4 linked regions of the Rattus norvegicus genome follow. The protein of the gene in region 1 purifies or fractionates together with the protein of each later gene. This does not show direct contact. Links are inferred from orthologs where the notes say so. Each region holds a gene or a part of one and is shown on either strand. Other genes may lie near its edges.

Region 1 (5,164 bases):
GTTCAGTTCACAGCACCCACATAGCCAGGTTCACAACTACCTATAGCTCCAGTAACAGGGAATCTGAGGCCACTTATCTTTTGGCTGAACAGGTACCAGACCATACCATGCATGCTTTCACACAGATATACATACATACATACATACATACATACATACATACATACATACATACATACACACATACATAAAAATTTTAAAAATTTTAACTCCACTCCCTGCTCAATTTTATATGATTGTCTAATGCATTATTCACCTTATACTGAACAAAATTTGACATTCTAGCAAAGTCATGGCTGTTCCACTAGGGGGAGAAAAACACCAGTAGTATTTGTTACCAACCCTTAGCCCAAGGGTTAGGCACTTTACTTACATTATCCACCAGGTGTCAACCGAGAGAAGAAAGTTACCCCCCCCCCCCCCCCGCCTTAAAATACACAAATGTGTAATTTTATGCTTAACAAGCCAAACTCTTCAGACAAACGGCTTGCCCAGTAATTATTCTTGACATAGTTATATTCTAGATTTTTTTAGCTCACATGTCAAGTCAAATAAAATGTAATTAAATAAAAATGTAGATTTTTTTAAAATAAAGAAAACAGCAAAATAGTTCGTTTGTTGTGATTCGCCCTATCCGGATTTACCATGCAAAAAGGATCTGATGTTTAACTATAGACAACCTCGTCCGATTTTGGCTATGCATAAAACAGGATTTCATAATATAGCCATGTTATGAGGTTATGTTGACTGTTAATGATCTTAGTCTATGCCATTACCCTCTAAATCCTGGTGATGTTTAGAACTGCATTTTTTTACTCAAGGCATTGAAAAAAGGAGAAATGTGCCTGTATTTAAAGATGTAGCACGGCAATTAGCATGTTGAAGTAAAAGTAAGGCTTAAAAATTAAGCCTCATTTATGTAACAAATCATACTTAAAAACCAAAAACCACCGTATATGCTTTTCTAGCTAAGACTTTTCAGTCTGTTGTAAACAGTGTCAGCTAAATGACTATGTTCAAACTGTCTCTTATGAGGTGGTAATTAGGGGTGTGAGCTCTATTCTTATTCCTGAGGATACAGAAGTTGTAATCGCGTCATTCTCTGCAATGGAGCAGTAGGTGGTGTCTTGAAAAAGGACTTTTTCTCCCGTCGAGGAAGTGGTCGGGCCTACACACTACACAGACAACTTGGTCGAGTTTGAAGCTGTAGGAGTCTGGGAAGGCAGCTGAAGACAAGAGCTGCCTGGAGCATTGTTCTTTGGCTCCTAAGGCCTTGGCTTAGTCCATTGCCACCCTGTCTACAAAGTCCTGCTTGCTTTTGTTGTTTCTATCCAAGTCAACAATGCTTTCTAGTATGAACAATATTTGTCTGCTTTTTATTACATTTTCTTTTGAAATTCATTAGCTTAGACTGGGGCCACCAGCGGCTTGCCCAACCGGTTTCTCCCCTTCCCCCACGGCTCGCACGTCCTGCGGGTCCGCGGTACGGGCGCACACCCTGGCCTGGCGCCGCCGGGCCCCTCTACCTAGCTCGCGGAGCGCGTGCGGGGCCGGCGCTGCAGCCGCGCGGAGTGCCCGCCGGCCAATCGCTGCGGCCCATGCACCGAAGTCAGGGACGCCGGCTCCACACCTACTGTACCGGGAGCGCGCGACGAGAGGGAGGCGCGCGCCTCGCGGGAGGGAACGCGCAGGGAGGCTGGCTGCAGTCGCGGCCTGCGCCTGCGCACTGGGGTTGTTTTTCACAAAGCTGCTCTTAAAGTGAGCTGGCAGCCTCCAGCCGCCCGTCTTTGTAAGGAGACCACTGAGACGAGCAGGAGCGTGGAGCAGCGGCTTCTCTGCTGCCCTGACTTTTTAAGAAATCTCAATGAACTATTTGTAGACAATCACTGATCCTGCCTGCAAGATTTTTTTTTCTTTTGCACGGCAAAGACACCGATCAGTGTTAAGTGAAGATCACATCTTATATGCGATCTTGACTTTTTTTGGTCTTATTATATTTTTATAGATTTTGTTATAATCATGGTGCTGGGAAAGGTAAAGAGTTTGACAATAAGCTTTGACTGTCTTAATGACAGTAATGTCCCCGTGTATTCTAGCGGGGACACTGTCTCAGGAAGGGTAAATTTAGAAGTTACTGGGGAAATCAGAGTAAAATCTCTTAAAATTCATGCAAGAGGACATGCGAAAGTACGCTGGACTGAATCAAGAAACGCCGGCTCCAATACTGCCTATACACAGAATTACACTGAAGAAGTAGAATATTTCAACCATAAAGACATCTTAATTGGGCACGAAAGAGGTAAGTTTTTATATTAGTCACTACATTCTACTTCTGTGCATGAGAACTTTAATCTCCTTTAATGCAGTTCTAGTCGGCAGTTTGATGAAGGTAGCAAACTTAGAAGATGTAGTTTCTCCTTGACGTCCAAGCGTGTTAAGCTGTAATCCATGCAGGCGTCTGCAAAGTGAGTGCAAACTGCACTTAACTTCATCTGTAACCGGCTTCATATCTGCCATACGCACCTTATAACGTGTTCAAATGTGACTCCGTCGTTTTACTGATATTTTCAAATTCATTTGCAAAGACTGCAGTCCAATGTTGGATTTCTCCTTTTATTTTACAATCTTAGATACAGGAAGGAGCACCAATAAAGAACTGTAGTGACATTTTAAGAAGGTTGCTAGATGTATCTGCTTTTGATATTAACGTGCAAACGACTTTAAAGACTTGATTATTGTTCTTTGATAAAGGGTTTCCCTGGCTTATTTTGACATATGGCATCAACACCCCCACGTGTTTTCCCATTTCTCCCAATTCCTTTTAAAATGTACATCAAGCACCATTTATTTTAAAGGATAATATCTATCATTATGCAAACTATTAAGTCAGTTTAGAAGCCATTCCGGGTCAGTACTTTTCTTCTCGGAGCATCATGTCTAACTTTGGAACGTGGATTCAATGAAACCCATGGCAGACAGATGGAATTGAAAAGTATATGGCACATCGGATTTGGTTTTTGGGTACAAGATGAAGATTAAGGCATTGTCAAAGGGACAAGAGGTCCTAAGATTTGCGATCTGTTGTTTAAGTGGCTACAATGTGGAAATATAGGCGACTCCAAGCTTGTTTTTCTAAGTTTCCACCCTTTGTTAGAAGCGGTTCAATCCTGTTTCGGACCAGTTCTGGGGGATGGTGAGGAGGGGCGCTTGTTCTGCTCTCAGCAGATTGGTTACACGCGTCAGGTGGTGGCGATGACTTAATTCCTAGTCCAAGAAGAATATAATGTTAAAACTGGTTATGTAATTTGTGTTTCTTCTTTCTAATGCAGTATTTTAGTGCAAATACTGGCGATTTTTCAGATAGAGGCATGCTTTTTTTTTTAAGTATCTAAAATATACATCCTAGGGAGACGTTAATTGAACTTAACGCAAGTGAGAAATGGAGGATGCTTTAAGTTACACAGAATTAATGTACCGTCTTTTAAATATAAAGGTGAAGCCAAGTCTTGGGGTTTACGCAGCTACACCGAGGTGTTCTACATGCTGAAATGGTTCCCTAGTTCACCTTCCGCAGCGTCCACACGAATGGGCCATACAGTACCTAATGACAGCGCTCGTATTTGTTTTTTAAAAAGGGCAGATCCATGAATTTGCTTTTGAACCTGCTTTGACGTCGCACCCTTTAAAAACATAAGAAGAGACAAAGGCTTTTTCCTCGAAGAGTTAAGACTTGTAGTAGGGGGGAAAGAACGAGTTCTGTGGACACACACTTGATCCGTTGCACCACGATCTCACAGTTAAGATAACTACCTGCGCCCTGCGAGGTGCCCCAGCAAGCCTGGCTACGCGTGGACGGGCTCTTAAGGCTGGAATAGTTTCAATGACTTCAAACTGGCAGCTCGCTCAAACTAGCCTGGTAGCTGAGCGCCCGCCCCGGGCGCCCAGCGATAGGCGGAGCTGCGTTTGTTAGCCTGTTGCTAAGGCGATGCCAGGCGTTGATTGGACTGGGCACGGGGGGGGGGGGGCGAGGGGGAAGTCGAGCCGGCTCGCGCCGGCTGGGGCGAGGCTTGGAACCGGCGTGCGCCGGTAAAGGTCTCTCCCGGCCAGCCGCCTCCGCCCCTCGGCGCGCCCCTCTCCGGGTGTCCCAGGCCCCTCGCCCACTGCAGCCGCCGCAGGTTTCATTGCCCTGGGCTCAAGCTCGGTTAAAAATCCCACCAAAGGCTGATCGAGGTGCGGGCGCCAGGGTACCCCCGGGGCTGGTACCTGTGTGACCCGAGGGGACATGACACAGGACAGATAGGGGAGACATCACCGGCACCAACTGGGCCTCGCCCATTGTTCCCCGGGGCCTCCGCCTCCGCGCCGCCGCCCCAGTTCCCCCTCGCTGTAACAGCGAAGGTGTCAGGGTGGCCTGAGCCAGATTGAACCGGTCACCGGCTGGGGCGTGGAAAGCGGAAGCTCGGCTTGCTGTGGCTCCGCCTCCGGCCCAGCATTCTAGGCTGCTCGGGCGCGAGCGCCGCGCGACGTATGCCGTATGTATAGCGGGGCGCGCGGAGCGCGGCCGCGCGCGGGCGGGCCGGCTGGGATCTGCTCAGCGCCGGTTTAGGCCGGTCCTCTCCTGCTCTAGTCTAGTTCTTGATTGACAGCCAGGCACTTGTTTACCACGGCGCGGCGGCCGCAGCACTCCTCAATGAGACTGCTGAGCTGGCACAAAAGGGAGCCGAGGAAGAAAGGGAGAGAGGCGAAGTTTGGGCGCCTTGGAGGGAGCGAATTGACGGGCCATGGCTCCCCCGGCCGGTCCTCAGGGCTGACGCTGTACAGGGGCTCCCCAGGAGGCTCTGGAAGCAATGCGCAGATATGGTCAGGTCACCATGATTTAGGGATGAAAGTCATATTTTTATGTATTTTCAGTACTTCGGCGAAGTGTAATGATAAGCGCCAGCCCCCACCCCATGCTAATTAAAAAGGATTGCACACCAAGTAAAGTCTTACTAGACTTCGGTATATTACCTAGACAGCCAAAAGGACCCTTTCCACATTTTTAATTTATTTCCACGACACACATACAAAAAATGATTCTGAGCAAAAGAAATGGGTTAAGTGAAAGCTTATTCGCAACCCACCCCCCACCCAATTCCCAGCAAATGGATGTTGAACAAAATGT
Region 2 (5,008 bases), on another chromosome or scaffold:
TCTGGCTCAGACACACAGGCAAAAATAGAAAGGGGCTGCAAGAAGAAATGTGTTTACTTTTGTGATTTCCCTCTGTGCCTCTTACCAGTGTTATAATCTCTCCGCAAATAGGCGGTAAGAGCCTGTGGGCCTCACCTCTACTGATAAACCCTCCCACATAACTCATTGCATGAACCTAAAACCTTAACTTCTTGGGAGTTACCTGGGAAGCTGGGACACAAGTTTAGCAGGCAGTGTGATGAAGAAGAAAGAGGAAGGATTGAGGGCTGAGGGGCTGTCAGAACTGAGTGAACTGGATGGGGGCGCTTTAGTAGGAGTAAGAAATAGAGCCTTTGTAGTGAACAGCATAAAACAGCTGATTTAGTTTTCCAAAGTCTACACCAGGCTTTCTGCTAAGGAGTATTTCACCCTTAGGGGTAACAGGTCATGGCTGAGGTTACTTTTGGCTATTATTTGTAAGCTCGAGGGGTGCTACTGGAATTTACTGGGTACTGGGCTGCTACTAAACTTCATATAACACGTGGGAATGCCAGACACGGAAAAGCCTAGTTTACACAGAAGTGCAGAGAATCAGGGGACAGAAAACATGAGACAGTAGAAGGGAGCAAGGAGAGGCTGAACCTGTGTTCAAGGCATGATGCATTCACCAGAGATGTTTTAAAGCTCTGCTCTCTCTCTCTCTCTCTCTCTCTCTCTCTCTCTCTCTCTCTCTCTATTCAACCAAGGCCTCTGACTTCCCGTGGAATTCCTAGATGCTTGGATAGCTTTTACACAGAACATCTTCCTCATCCTGAACACACCAAACCCTCCCGCAGTACAGAGGGCACTGCTGTAAGAGACGGCAGTGGTATAAATACACACAGTTATTAATTAAGTAAGTGGGGCTGGAAGGTGGGTGTCAGGAGCATGTGGGGCAAAACATATGCCCACAACTCTGTCTCTGTGAGTCAGGGTTTCCGAGGTGACAGCACAGACTGGCAACTGTAGGACACACTGGGTTGTACTGAGAACGGGTGGGACTGATTTAGGACACAAGTGAAGTTAGGAAAGACACCGGTTCGCATCTAGAGATCCAAAGACACAGGAAGGGCTAGGCAATCGGTGCATGCCATTCTGGTACCCTTACACATTAAGCCACTCAGCAGTTATGACACATAGTTACCTGTGGTTTCCAGTGGGAGAGACAAGGACACTCCAGAGTCAAGAGGTTTTGGAGAAACAGGTGCAATGAAGTCATGGTCAAACAATTTATTTACTGTAAACTTTAGACTTTGCTCAGAAAAACAACTGATGTTGTCCCTCAAATCCCTGCCTACAACACTCCATTTGAGCGAATAAGTGGAGTGAGAGAGAGTCCACATTCACAGCAGAAAGGTCCAAGACACAGGATATTTCAAGTCCAAGGGTACAGGAAGAAAACTCTCTCCTTTACATATGAATTTCCAGCAGCAATATATATATATATTATCCTTAATACTTGACCAGTGAGGTAGATACATGGAAACACCATCCAAACAGACAGACCAACAACACTTCAGACAGAAACTTTTAAGTTCCATGCAAAGAGGAACTGAACTGTACAAGGAAAACATTAAGCACTGAAATACAGTCTCTCTCTCTCTCTTTCTCTCTCTCTCTCTCTCTCTCTCTCCCTCTCTCTCTCACTTGCAGCTTAAAAAAATAAAATAAAAAAGGCAGAAGGATGTGCCCCTTCTGCAAAATCTCTATACAATTTTATTCTAAAGTTATTACACTCAAGTAAAATAGTCTGGTTAGTGTCCTGTCAGGGAGGGGCCGTCTTAAAGAGTAGAAAGCCTACACTACAGTGGCGAGTCGTTTGTGTTACAGTTCCTCCCTTGAGAGTCAATGCTAAGGCTAGGCACAGTACCTTGACAGTTCACAAAGCCTTCCATGCCAGGGGCTTCCTCACAAAGCAGTTCATTTTCTTTCTCCTGCCCCAGCTGATATGCGCTCTGCTCCCCTGTGTAGTCTGTCCTACCGTTGCTGTTGCTAGAGTAGCCGTTCCCATAGGTTTTCGAAGAAGACCGGCGAAGGCACAGAAGCTCCTGGAAGGCAATCCTGAAATCTGGACTCCGACAGTAGATAAGAGGATTGAAGGCAGAGTTGACATAGCCCAACCAGTTAAGGAGGATGTAAACTTCCTTAGGGATGAGGTTGGCCCGGATGACGTGGACAATATTGACAATGAAGAAGGGCAGCCAGCAGAGGGTGAAGGTGCCCATGATGATGCCTAAAGTCTTGAGGGCTTTGTGCTCTTTCAAGCAGAACTTGGAGGACCTTCGGAGTCCGTGCCCGCTCCTCCCATCCTGCTCCACCTGGCTGAGGTTTTGGGCATGAAATCTGCCCTCGGATTTGTCTATCTTCTGCAGCTGCCTTTTGGCCACCTGGAAGACCCTGGAATAGACAAAGACCATGACCACCAGGGGCACGTAGAAAGATACGATAGAGGAAGCGATAGCATAGGCCTGGTTCGTGAAGAAGTCACAGCAAGTCTCCTTGGCATAACAGTCGATGGCTTGCTTGTGGGTGGCACGGTACCAGTGCATCTGGATAGGCAAGAAGGAGGTAAGGCCCGACACAATCCACACCATTAGGATGACCACTCGGGCCTTATTCTTGGTCAGCAGGCTCTGGTACTTGAAGGGCGATGTGATAGCAACATAGCGATCCACTGCAATCACGCACAGGGTCTCGATGCTGGCTGTGACGCACAACACATCAATGGAAGTCCAGAACTCGCACCAGAAATTGCCAAAATTCCACATTTTCATAAGGATATGACTGGCCCCAAAAGGCACCACCGCTAGGCCCATGACTAGATCAGCACACGCCAAGGAGGTTATGAAGTAGTTGGTGACGGTTTGTAGTCGCTCGAACTTGGCAATGGCTGTGATGACCAGCACGTTGCCAAACACGATGGCCAGGACGATAACCGACATGAGGATGGCCATGCCCACCACCCACGCTTCGTCCCGTTCCTGAGTGATGTCGTGGCCTGGCGCTCGGCTTCCATTGGGTGCCAGCAAGAAGTCGCTGTCATTCCCGTGTGGCTCCATGGCCGGCAGGTGAGCGCACCGGCTTTCAGTGCCCAGACGCTCTCAGCGGGTGCACCTCCGATGGGGCGCAGCCGTCCGGGGGCGGACTCCTGGAAGCTTCATTCAGAGACCGTAGGTGGCTGTGCTGGGGGCGCGTCCTGCACACTGAGCTCGTGGGTGCTCCGGGCTCGCGATGCCTGCCAGCTGCAGCCTGAACGCGGGAGAAGCAGCCTTGCAGTGCACCCTGCCCGTTATGTGCACTAGACTTTAGGGGACTTGCCCAGTGACGTGCAGCAACTTTGAGCCAATGGCACCGTCGCATGCCCGGAGGGGCGAGGCACTAAGGGCCAACCCTCCTTGCCTAGCCCGCCTCCTCCTGGGGTTGGCCCGGGCGGGGCCCAAGCTGCTCCCCGGAGGCCAGGCCACCACTCCCTTCCAGCTACCCTAGCTGGGGCTCCCGAGAGAGAAATCTGGGACTGCTGTGCGACCCGCCAACCACCCAGGCGCTGTCTGGAAGTGCTACCTGTTCATGTAGGTCACCTGTGCGGGTTGGAAGGTCTCTGGACGCCAGTGGCAGTGGGTGCATTTTCTTTTAGGAACAGAAAGAACAAGCTCACCCGGACACGCACACACAGGCACAAACGCACCCTGCTGACTGGGACGTGCTCAGACTTATGCCGAACCACAGCCACAGACACCGAGACACACCCGCGCCCGCTCATGCTGGAGACGACAGCTGTCTCCTGGTCCAACACAGAGAGGTGGCTATAAACAAACTCAGGAACACCCAGAAGCAAGCTGAAAGAAACACACACAAGGGCTCCGGTGGAGACATGGAGTGCGGATCACTTAGACACCGGTGTTCACATCCAGGTACTACCCTCCTCTAGCACTCATAAATGACACCCCATTCGCAGACACCCAGTGTATTCCCTTTCAGTTATTTGGCAAGAACACAGGAGGTGACTCCAACAGCTACAGAGTTTCTAAGCACACTTGGTGAAAAATATTTTTTTGGCGTCCTCCCTCCTTGAGAACATGCAGGCAACCGCACCAAGGCAGTAACTTCGCCCTTTGCATTTCTTTAGGAATTGATGTGTACGCACTTGGGGAGAGTTGGGGTGGGGGTGTTATTCTTAATTCTTGGGAGTGTGGCATCATTTTTCTTGTTATATGGTGGATATCCAGGGATGCATTGAAAACGAAAATGCAAGAATTTTCTTTTTGAAAATAAAAAAAAATAAACTACATTACTTATGTTATGCGCATGGGAGTCTTATCTCTGTGTTTGTCTGTGCACCACGTTTGTGCATGTTTTGGAGGTCAGGAGAAAGAGAGCATCAGATTCCCTAGGACTGAATATACAGATAGTATCAACACACAAGCTGCCTTTGTGAGTGCTGGCAATCGAACCCTGGTCCTCTGGAAGTCAGCCAATGCTCTTAACCACTGAGCTGTCTCTCCAGTCTGCATGATCTTCTTTTCAAACAATTTCTTAAGTAACTCCTTTGTAATTATAAAAGTGTTAACTGTATTAATTGTATTTGTTGGCTGGATAATTAGCTAATCTTTTAGGCTATGTCATGTGAACCTGCCACCACTGGGCCTTTTCTGTCTTTAAAAAACCCCCACAATTTCATATAATTCATTATATTAAAAATGTGTTTTCTGAAGTCCATTTTAAAACTACAGAAAGAAAATGATAGTTTTTCCTTCCCATTTAAAAAAAACATCAGACCAAGACTAAGATTTCATGAAACACCAACCTTTGCAGCTGGCAAGTGACTTGACTGTTGCGGAAAAAAATTAATTTTCAAGGTTTGATTTCACGTGTATTATATTTGATAGACCAAAAGTCTTTCACATGGAATAAGCAAACATACTTTGTAGATTACATAATAACATAACAATGGCTGACATTTAGGGGACATTCCGTTTGTGCATTATTGCAT
Region 3 (5,235 bases), on another chromosome or scaffold:
TCAAATCCACAGAACAATAATTTTTTTAAAAAAAACTTCCATGGGAGACGTTTGGAGAGTAGCTTTTAATTCCCAACACCTTAGTTTTACCGACTATCATAGAAATTTTAAATTGTGGGGGTGGCCAACCAGTCTACAAGCCCGACTGCTTGGGTTCTGTCCCTGCTTGATACCTGGATCCCACAGTGGGAGGAAAAAACCAGTCCCTGGAAGTTGTCCTCTGACCTCCACGCTAATTATAATAAATAAAATAGAAATAAAATACACATGTAGCAAGCCGAGTGTGGTAGTTCGTGCTTGTGATCTCAGGACTGGGAAGGCTGAGAATGAAGCATCCTGAACTTGAGGCTAGCTTGAGTTACATAGTGAGAATCTGTCCCCTAAATAAATAAAAACTGTAGATTAAAGACTATCTGGGGCTAGATGACATGGCTTGGAACCTTGGTTTCTGGCTCAGTGATCTTGGGCCAACTAATAATTTCCGTTACAGTCAGTTGTCTTCTGTACAAAGTAATAAAATACATTTATAGTATTTTGTTAAAATATCTTATAGTATGCTTGGTGACAGGAGTCATCTGGGATGCTAGTTAAAAAAAAAAAAACAAAACAAACAATACCCCCCCCCACACACACACACAGATTCTCCTAGAATACACCACTCTCAATACTGGGGATACAATCTTGGGTCTTATCAATGCTAAGCAGGTATTCTACTAGTGAGTTACATCTCGAGCCCTTACTGCATAATCCCTAGTGCGCAAACATTGGTTGGAAGTGCAGAACTTTTAAATACTTAAAAAAGCAACACCCCGCCCCCACACACCAAACCCAAACTTAGGGTTTCATCATGTAACATTAGTTGGTCCAGAAATCTCAAGATATCTAGGCCTGGCTAACCGTGAACCCATTTGTCTCTGTCTTCTAACTGAACCTGAAGCTTACTGTGTAGTCTAAGCGGGTCGACTAGAGAGCTCATAGGTTTGCCCGCCAGTGCTGGGGGAAAGGGGTCTGTGCCAGCTTTTACATGAATGCCGAGATTCAAGCATCCTTGTGCTTGCACGGCAAGAGTGTTTACCCACTGGACCATCTTTCCAACTCAGAATCGTTATTGTTTAATAAACTCTCTCGGCATGTAATTCATTTTCTTTTTTCTTTTTTCTTTTTTTTTTTTTTTTTTTCGGAGCTGGGGACCGAACCCAGGGCCTTGCGCTTGCTAGGCAAGCGCTCTACCACTGAGCCAAATCCCCAACCCCTCGGCATGTAATTCATAATATGGTGGTTTCAAAGGTATTTCAAAAAGTGTAAGTGACTTTCTAGATGGTTTCCTTACGAGGAGACAGGATAAACATTAATAGCAAAGTCTGCTAATTATTTAAGTGCTTAAGTAGTACCTCTATTACTACTACTGCACAGCCTATTAATTCTCACAAACACCTCCATGAAGGAGATTGGGGATAGGCTTAGATGCGATTTGCCTGGGTTAGATGCGATTTTCCTGCACGCGGTTTAATGTAAGCATCTGAAAAGGTAACAACAGACATTTTTCTCAGTTTTGTTGTAAACGTTAGGAAGTATGCTTTCCAGTTTTTAGAATTCAGGCCGCGTTGGCGCCGTCAAACTGTCACCCTCCTAAGAACGCCCTGTCAAAAGGTGGAGAAAGGAGAATTTGAACCCAGTCAGTGTAACTCCAGAAGGATAGAACCCGCACAGTGCTTCTTAAATTGTGATTCCTGCTGTCAGGAGTATCAATAGAGAACTTGTTAAAAATGCAAATTGTAAAACACCCCCCAACACCCCGCACTCCATGCCAGATCTACTGAGTCAGAAACTGGTGGTGGAGATCAGCAGTCTGTTTTTAAAAGCTGGTCAAATGATTCTGAGACACCCTAGCGTTTGGTAACAGTTTTTTGAGGTTCTGGCAGGGAAGAAGGGGTTAAAAGGAAGCAACAAGGAAGGGAGAAAGAAAGGAAAGGAGAAAGGAAAGAAGAAAAAGAAGGAAGAAAAGAAAAAGCCGTGGATATGTAGAGAGCAAGGCTAAATTCACTTCACCTGGAGGTGAGGAAAAATGATTTAGCAGGCTGGCGCGCAAAGCCTGTTGGGGCTTGTAGTCCGGACTGCGTCTAAGAGGACGCGCCTGCGCACTAAGTGTGAACTAGCTCTAGTCGCTGTAGTCGGGGCTCGGGACCGGCTGCCATCTTAGCGGAGGGACTGAGGAGTCGTCGCCGCCCCGAGTCCCGGTAAACACCCGCAGGCAGACTGGGGTCATTTCTGTGGCTTGGAGGGAGCTTGGATGAAAAGGCATGGAGAATGCGAAGGGTAGAGGAGTGTTGCGTTCGAGTCGAGACCTAAAGCCGGGGCTGCTCTTCCCACAGCCGGTGTCCGTGGGGGGCGCCCGGAGAGCGGGCTGGTGGCCGGAGCCGGGTGGCGGGTGGGTCAGCAGGTCGAGCTGAACTGCTAGTGCTTGGCCTAGGCGCCCGGAGCCTGTGGACCCGCAAGCCCCAAGTTGGGAGAGAGCCGAGCCGCGGCGGACGTGGGTAGGGTCCAGCCCCGCGCCCCGCTGCCGCGCCCGGGGGCTCCTCTCCTGCGGCTCGGCCTACGCGCGGGGCCCGGTGGCAGCGGCCCGCCCGCGCGACGTGGCCCTTTGAGGGGCGGCGGCCGGGCCCACCTGCCACTTGGCAGGCTCCCCCGAGACTTTTCCAAGCTCCCACTCGCGGAGGACCTTCCCCAGTGACTGCCTCCCCTTCTGTCTTGTACTTCCCTCCTCCCTCCATTGTCCCCACTCGTGGTGGTCCCGGCCCAGGCCGGCGCCGCCGACTTTTGCAGACGTGGAGCTGTCACAGTCCTTCCTACTGAGAGCGTACTTTTCTTTGGGAAAAAAAAAAGTAGAGGTGAGCGTATTTGAAAGGTGGAAGCCTGATGAGGGCAGGACTTTTAAATAGAAGACTCGCGTTTTGAGACTTAGTTCCTGGCTGCAACTTCAAAAGAGAAAAAATATATATAAAGGGTCAGTGCACCCGAAGTAGACATTGGGCCCCAATTAGAGATGTGACCAGGTGAACTTGCAAAGTACCCAAAATTCACGGTTCCCCAGTCACTTGTTTTCTTGACTGTGTTAGAATACTAATCCTGTTCAGTTTTCTGCTCTTTAAGAGCTGCAGTGAACTCTCTCTAAAGGGAGCATTGGGGGAGAAGAGTGAGGTTTTCTTCCTCTTCAAAGTTGACAGAACACAATCTAGCCCCCCATCATTGTTCTCTTAAGTGGGTGTTTCTCCTGTCTCCTTATCTTATGAAAGTAGGTAAAGACCGTGTCTGTTCACTCCCAGGATTGGCAAAGGGCTCCGTTCTCATCTGAAATAAAGTCTTTTAGGGGACACATTTGAAATTCAACCTTGTGTATCACAGGTTTACTTAAGGCTTAATTTTGCACGTTTAGGAAAGATTGAAATTCTCTTTTGAACAGTGAATATACTTTGTGTGCATGAGTTCAGGAATTCAGACTTTAGAATAGATGTCAACAAGGATATACTATGAAACCAAAAGCAAGTGCCTAATACCTTTTTATTGTATTCTAGAGTAAGTTCTACATTCTTTAAAAAAAAAAAAAAAAAAAACAAAACAAAAACTAGCTTTACTTAAGAGACAGACTGATCCATGGTCCCAGAATTTGTCCATTAGCACAGTTACAAGAGCTTTTGGGTTTTTTTTTTTTTGTTTTGTTTTGTTTTTGTTTTTTTTTCTTTTTTTCAGAGCTGGGGACCGAACCCAGGGCCTTGCGGTCGATAGGCAAGCGCTCTACCGCTGAGCTAAATCCCCAACCCCAGCTTTTGGGTTTTTTGTTTTTGTTTTGAGACATGATTTGCTATGTATCTCTGACTGGACTAGAACACACTGTAGTAAACTTAGACTGGCATCAAACATTCTGATTTCTTGCCTCTCCCTCCCTTGTGCTGGGATTATAGGTACATACCATCAGAATGGGCTCAGGAGAAATTTTTAGATTTGTTTATTTGTGTGTGTATGTGTGCGTGCGCACACCATGACTTGAGTTGGAAGTCTGAAGATAACCTTCAAGAGTGTTTCCTCTTTCCTGTGGGTTCCAGGGTTCAAACTCAGGTCATCGGACTTGTGTAGCAAGTGGCTTTCTGTTGAACTATTTTGCTGGACCAGGAGATCGTTGAAAGTAGAGTTTGCAGCCCAGTTGGTAGAGCACTTGTTTACCATAGACAAGAGCCAGAGTTTATTTAACTCTCAGCAGCATTGGGAGGTGAGGCCGGCCTGGGCTGCTCGAGACCCTTTTTAAAAAGTAGACGTTCTCAGGTCTCACTTTTGAGATTGATTAGTGGATCTGCATTGGCTTCTCTCACTTTATTACAAATGTGCTGTAGGTAGTGGGGATGGTTTTGGGAACACTGAGGCAAATAATAGTATGGTTATAACAAGGACAGCACAGAAAGCTTTGAGATAGGAGAGAGAGTGGAAGTGGTCAGTGTGGGAATTGTTGAGGGGAGTGGCAAGACCTGTCAATGAGAGGCAACATAGTGAGTTCCAGCCCATCAGAGCTACATAGTGGGCCCTGGCTCAAAAAAGATTTTGTCTATGGACCTGAAGTTCTAGAGTAGTGGTTCTCAAATCGAGGGTTTTGACCCCTTTGGCAAATGTCTAGCTCTAAAAATATTTACATTGTATTCATAACAGTAGCAAAATTATAATCATGCAGAAACAGCAAAAATAATTTTATGGTTGGGGTCCCCACTACATGGAGCACTGTATTAAAGGGTCACAGCGTCAGGAAGGGTGAGAGCCGCTGTTCTGGAGGATGAGTAGGAATGTGACAGGTGAAGAAAGGGAAGGTAGTGCCGAAGGAAACGCCTCAAGACGTTGAGGCGTGTGTGGTTTAGGAGGGATGTGGGAGAAAAGGGGTTCAGTGCACAGAAAGCAGTGGAGGAGAGGGTTATGGGACTCAGGACCAGAAAGGTAAAAGGAGCCTGCACTAGAAAAGGTCTGTGTATGGTGCTCACTCTCTTGAATTTTATATTGTGAGAGATCAAGGCTTTGGGGAAAGGAAGTGGTGTAAGTTGGTGTTTATTTTAAAAAGATGGCTCTAATGATAAAAGTGAAAGGGCCCGAGTAACTGTGGCAGAAGTTTCCCTGGTAGGTGACAGGCTGGCCTCGGAGGGGCTTCCTTAAGAGGTTAGTGTCTCATTTTGCTGATGTAATAATGTTGCTATGGTTTTG
Region 4 (4,986 bases), on another chromosome or scaffold:
CGTGGGCAGGGTGGTTCCATGGGCAGAGGATCCTGGACTATATGCAACAAAATTGCGTGAGCATAACTCTCTCTCTACTTCCTGAGGTCTGGTTTATTGTGACCAGTTGCTTCAAGCTCCAGTCACCAGATATAAGCCAGCATAAACTCCATTTCCTTTAAGTTGTTTTGGTCCAGTAATTTACCACAGCAAGAGGAAAAGAACGAAGGCACACAAAATTGTCATGTACGTTTCGAGAGGTTTCTTTTCTTTTCCTTTCTTTCTTTCTTTCTTTCTTTCTTTCTTTCTTTCTTTCTTTCTTTCTTTCTTTTTTGCATCATGTGCTATGCCCCTAACTTATATGTAAAGTTAGGGACTAGTACCTAACGTGCCAGAGTGGAAGTGACTGTACATTTGTTCATTCAAATGGTATTTACTGAATCCTACAAATATTCATGGAGTCTCAGTGTTTGCTCTTCTTGGTATACTACTCTTTCAAAGGTTACAACAACAGCAGAGTGAATCAGAAAGGTGGTTTAAGGTTAACAAGCAATTTAGAACAGAAGTGTTGTTACATGGTGATTTTGCTGAGAACTTGTTACCTATGGAGCAGTGAAGTTAAAGGTGTTACAGGCAACAATGGAGTGGTCATCCTTGAAGAGAAACCAGGATTTCTGAACTTTTCTAACAAGAGAACTAGTCGGCTATGGGGTGGGTTTAAATAATTTGTGGTGCCTAGGTGAGGTGTTTAGGTAACTGTACTATTTGTGCTGGAAGAACTTTGTTCTTTCTCTGAAGTAAAACAGCGGGCCATATGGTGAGTAATGTGGTCATTACATTGCAGTGTGACCTTTCTCGTAACGTAAAACTACCAACAGCTCTTTTCTAAACTAGTTGACTCATTGTGTCATGGAGTCAAGAGACGCTACCTTTCAGAATTACTGTGACCATTAACTGTAGGAAAAAGGATATATGCACTTGCTCAATCAGTAGTAGCTTTGTTATTTGGTCACTGTGGTGCCAAGACAATTTCATTACCGACACAATGGTCTCCTGTGACCACTACTAGTGGACCCTAAATATTAAAGCGAGGTCAAGGAGCTTTCCTTCGCAGCCTACTTTTGCTGCGACGTGCTGAACTAAAGCACAGACGTGCCCGGAGGTTCTTCCCTGGGGTTATGCAGGAAGCTCTGCAGATGCCTGAACAGACCAGGTAGCTGCTGTTCAGAAGTCACCACCCGCTTCCCGGCGACTGCCCCGCCCCCTTTCCGGCCCTGGCCCCGCCCCCTCCCTCCTATTGGTTGGCGTGCCTCTCCGCCAGACCGTCGCGAAGACCCGGAGGAGTGGAGTCGCCCCGAGGCGAGCCGGGCGCGCGCTCGCTGCGCATGCTCGAGAGCAGCTGGATTCCCGGTCTGGACCGTAGGCTCAGAGCGGCTCCGGCGGGGAGGCGCGCCTGTGCGCGGCACGGGCGTCGCGAGTACGCTGCGCGCTCCCGAGGAAGGGAGGTGTAGGCCGGGGTGGGTGGGGGGAGGGCCGGGTGTCGGCGCGCTTGGCGTGCGGGATCGGAGTGGCTGCGGGCGGCCTGGGCTGCCCGGCCGACGCCTGCTGCGAGATGGCGATCTTGGGCGCGGAGGGCTGAGGAGGCGCCGCCGCGGTGGCCGCGGGCCCCGGGAGCCGCAGCTTCGCGCGGGTAAGCACAGCGGGGCTCTGGAGGGCGGCCGGGCCGGAGTTCGCTGGGGTGGGGTCGCCGGGCTTGCCCCGAGCTGGCCCTGGCACCGGCCTGTGCCGGTGACACCGGAGCCCGGCGAAGTGTCTGGGTGACTGCAGTGCTCAGGCTCCTGGCCGGCAGCTTGCTAGCGTTCCAGCTTCCCTGCCTCAGAACTGCTGCCCTGACTTTCACCCGGATCCCACCGGCGCGAGCCCGGACTCCAGCCTCAGCTTGTCCTTTTCTGACATGTTTTTAGCATTTAGCGTTTTTTCACTGACTCCGCACCTCCTCTCACCAACAGTCTCAATCTCCACCTTTGGTGACCTGGTAGGTTCAAGTGACCTTGCAAAATCTTCTAATCCTCGTCTCGTGATTTGGGCCCTTTTCCTTTAAGTCTTCTTTTAAAATTTAGTATTGTTAGGGTTGGTACTTTGCCGGTCGCCTTTATAGTCTTTAAATGATCAATTTTGTGGTTTAGGATTGTGTGGCTCTCTCCTTTCTTTACTCATCGGTTTGGAGTTGAAGTTCCTTTGCTCGAAGCGATTCCTCTTCATTATTGCCAAAAAGGTGTATCTATTATGCTTTTGAAATATTTTACTTTCCCACCATGAAATAATTCACAAATGTCAGGTATTTTTCTGTTAAATTTTTATCTTTTTGTGTGCATAAAATTGAATTTCTACTCTTAAAGTAACGGGGAAAAAATAATGCCAGAGTTATCTTCCCACTTCCCATTTGGTATTTTTTTTTTCTTGTTGAAATACCCAGTTCACAGTTGTCTGTAGGTTTCTGCAAGAGTTTTTGCTTGTGTATAAATCCACTTGACATGTCTCACCAAGTCTGTGTGCAACTATTAGTAAAACTCTCCTTTTAAGAAAGACATTCTTTCATTTATCTGACTTCCTTGAGCCATAAGACTATATACTTAAACTGACTGAAAATTACCATTTTTAAATAACTAGTTAACCTTTCAATTTCGAAGATAATGGCCAAGTGTTGGAGCTGTTGAAATTGAGATGCTTGAAAAATGTGGCTTAGCTCTTTGAGACATAGATTATTAACATTTCCAAACAGTTCTTCACATAAAATGTTGAGCTGCTTTTAAGACACTGTGCTTTTGAAACCCCGGACATGGCTGATCAGGTCTCTTGCCTTCAAAGAGATGGTAATCTCTTAAATTGGCTGAAATTTCTGTTACATCCTTGCACAGTTATTAAGCATCAACTGCATGAGAGAATGAGGTATTTGGGGGTATATGTAGATCAAATGATTAGCAGCTTCTGTCTTTACAGATTATGGAGGAGGTCTGTGTGTTGGATTATATACAGATGCTCCTTTCATGTTCTGGGGAATAAATGGCAGAATCTCACTACGTAGCCTAATCTAGCCTTGAACTTGCCATCTTCCTGCCTCTGAGATCATAGGCCTATGCACCATGTCCAGAATACCTTTGTGTGTACGTTTCATAAATATAAGAATTCTCTCAAGTTGTGTTCAGAGAGGGTAGTTCTCAGATGGGTTAAGGAGTTTCTTGTTTCGAAGAAGCTGGATTGAAGGACGATAAACTATGACCTGAAGGATGGTGAGAAGTCAGCAGGGAAAGATCGTTCTAGTAGAAGGATCTAAGAGGGTTTGGACAGAGTCTGCAGGGTTTGTTCTTAGGATATAGGAGAAGAAAACTTGAAGTAAAAACCAAGACCAGTAACAAAGTTATTCTTCTTTTTTGTTTTTCTTTCCTTTGTTTTGCTTTGAAACAGATCTTGCTATATAGGTGTGACTGGCCTCCAACTTGCTTGCTGTGTGGACCAGGCTAGCCTGGAACTCAGAGGTCTATCTCTCTTTGCCTTCCCAACCCTGGAATTAAAGAATGTGTCACTACTGTTGGCACAAGAGTTATTGTTAAATTTAGATAAATTTCAGGTTACTAGGCAGTGTCAGGCGCACAGATGATTTTTGAGTTTAAGGAACAGTTTTACACCTTTGTTTAGAAAAATTAATCTAGTAGCATTGTGTAGTATGAATTGAGGTCAGAAGAAAATGGAAATTCATAAGTTACCTCAGGATTTCTGTCATTATAGACAGCAAGGGTCTGAACAAGTGGAAAGGACAGGAAAGTAGGATAGAATTTGGTAAGCAGGTTAAAGTTCAGATAATTGGCAAGATGGGTAAAGGTGCTTGCTGCCAAGCCTGGTGACCGAAGTTTGATCATAAACACCCCCGCCCCTTGGTAGGAAAGTAGTCTACTCTTCAAAGTAGACACAAGCACACCCTGTTCCCTCCACGAATTAATGCTCTGGCTGTCTTGGAACTCATTCTGTAGACCAGGCTGGCCTTGAACTTACCAAGATCCACCTGCCTCTGCCTTCTGAGTGCTGGGTTTAAGGTATACACCACTATGCCCAGCTGAAATAATTGTTTTTTAAAAAGTTAAAATAATGATTCGGATCCATGTCCATAGGGAAAGTAATGGTAGTGTAAAAGCATTATCCTTAGCAGGCCTGTATAATGCTCATAGACTTGGGTGACTACTAACCCTTGTTGAAACTAACAGGTCACGTGCACCCATGCTTTGTGGATGTGATTTTAGGGGAGTCCATGAATTACCTGAAGCTCCTGCCTGAAACCCATGGGCTGTCTATCGTGCTGGGGGCAGCTTTCAGAATTACTGGAAAGTTAATAACCCTGACTGTAGGTATACTGTGTAAGTAGCTGGAGACAGTAATCCACTGTATTGTGGCTCACACCCCACAGGTAATATTATTCTATTATATTGTCTTTAATTTGTTGTTGTATCATGGAACAAACTTGCCTGAGAGTTTAGTTCATGTGTCCCAAGGCTCCTTGCAAGTGGTCAGATAGAGCCTGGAGTTTGTGAACAGTGGTGGTTTTCTTTTTTCTGTGAAGAGAAGAGCATAACTGATTTGCTGCTGATCGGCTCTAGTTTGGTGTCTTTTAAGTAAAGAATTAGTGGTTCCGAGAGATTCCTCCCAGTTAAGGTTTTGTGGCTCTTGGCACATAGGTCTTCACTGGAACATCTGCACTCATCTTTCTTTCCTTTTGTGTGTTTGAAGAGTGGTGAAGCTGGGGGATGCTATGGGTAGGCAGAGAACAGATAGCAGTATCAGGTCAGACATGTTAATTATTGCTGTCTGTGTGACTCCTGATTGGGGATCTGGGAAAAGATTACAGAGGCTGTACAGTAGAAGAAGAAACCTGGAGGGCACTTTAGTCTTTTCTGTTCCTCTCTGCCTTAGGAATGTTCCAGTCCTTCGTTCAGGAGGTGGCGTGTGACAGGAGGA

The links.
Region 2: the proteins of Arrdc3 (region 1) and Adrb2 purify together in Homo sapiens (affinity purification with western blotting; 6 studies listed by BioGRID and IntAct, with this or other methods). This does not show direct contact. The link is inferred for Rattus norvegicus from reciprocal best matches to the Homo sapiens genes ARRDC3 and ADRB2.
Region 3: the proteins of Arrdc3 (region 1) and Itch purify together in Homo sapiens (co-immunoprecipitation; 5 studies listed by BioGRID and IntAct, counting the BioPlex papers as one, with this or other methods). This does not show direct contact. The link is inferred for Rattus norvegicus from reciprocal best matches to the Homo sapiens genes ARRDC3 and ITCH.
Region 4: the proteins of Arrdc3 (region 1) and Wwp1 purify together in Homo sapiens (affinity purification with mass spectrometry; 4 studies listed by BioGRID and IntAct, counting the BioPlex papers as one, with this or other methods). This does not show direct contact. The link is inferred for Rattus norvegicus from reciprocal best matches to the Homo sapiens genes ARRDC3 and WWP1.

What each region holds. Positions count from the first base shown.
Region 1 is NC_086020.1:12,871,419-12,876,582, forward strand, and holds the start of Arrdc3 (arrestin domain-containing protein 3), read left to right. Parts: upstream 1-1,783; 5' UTR 1,784-2,019; coding exon 2,020-2,299; exon of another isoform or gene 2,300-3,264; intron 3,265-3,475; exon of another isoform or gene 3,476-3,612; intron 3,613-4,500; exon of another isoform or gene 4,501-4,847; coding exon of another isoform or gene 4,848-4,860; intron 4,861-5,164. UniProt on the Homo sapiens protein: Adapter protein that plays a role in regulating cell-surface expression of adrenergic receptors and probably also other G protein-coupled receptors.
Region 2 is NC_086036.1:57,911,527-57,916,534, forward strand, and holds Adrb2 (beta-2 adrenergic receptor), read right to left. Parts: upstream 3,277-5,008; 5' UTR 3,078-3,276; coding exon 1,821-3,077; 3' UTR 1,234-1,820; downstream 1-1,233. UniProt on the Homo sapiens protein: Beta-adrenergic receptors mediate the catecholamine-induced activation of adenylate cyclase through the action of G proteins. The beta-2-adrenergic receptor binds epinephrine with an approximately 30-fold greater affinity than it does norepinephrine.
Region 3 is NC_086021.1:164,103,636-164,108,870, forward strand, and holds the start of Itch (E3 ubiquitin-protein ligase Itchy homolog), read left to right. Parts: upstream 1-2,160; 5' UTR 2,161-2,237; exon of another isoform or gene 2,238-3,613; intron 3,614-5,235. UniProt on the Homo sapiens protein: Acts as an Acts as an E3 ubiquitin-protein ligase which accepts ubiquitin from an E2 ubiquitin-conjugating enzyme in the form of a thioester and then directly transfers the ubiquitin to targeted substrates.
Region 4 is NC_086023.1:37,979,288-37,984,273, reverse strand, and holds the start of Wwp1 (NEDD4-like E3 ubiquitin-protein ligase WWP1), read left to right. Parts: upstream 1-1,530; 5' UTR 1,531-1,669; intron 1,670-4,986. UniProt on the Homo sapiens protein: E3 ubiquitin-protein ligase which accepts ubiquitin from an E2 ubiquitin-conjugating enzyme in the form of a thioester and then directly transfers the ubiquitin to targeted substrates.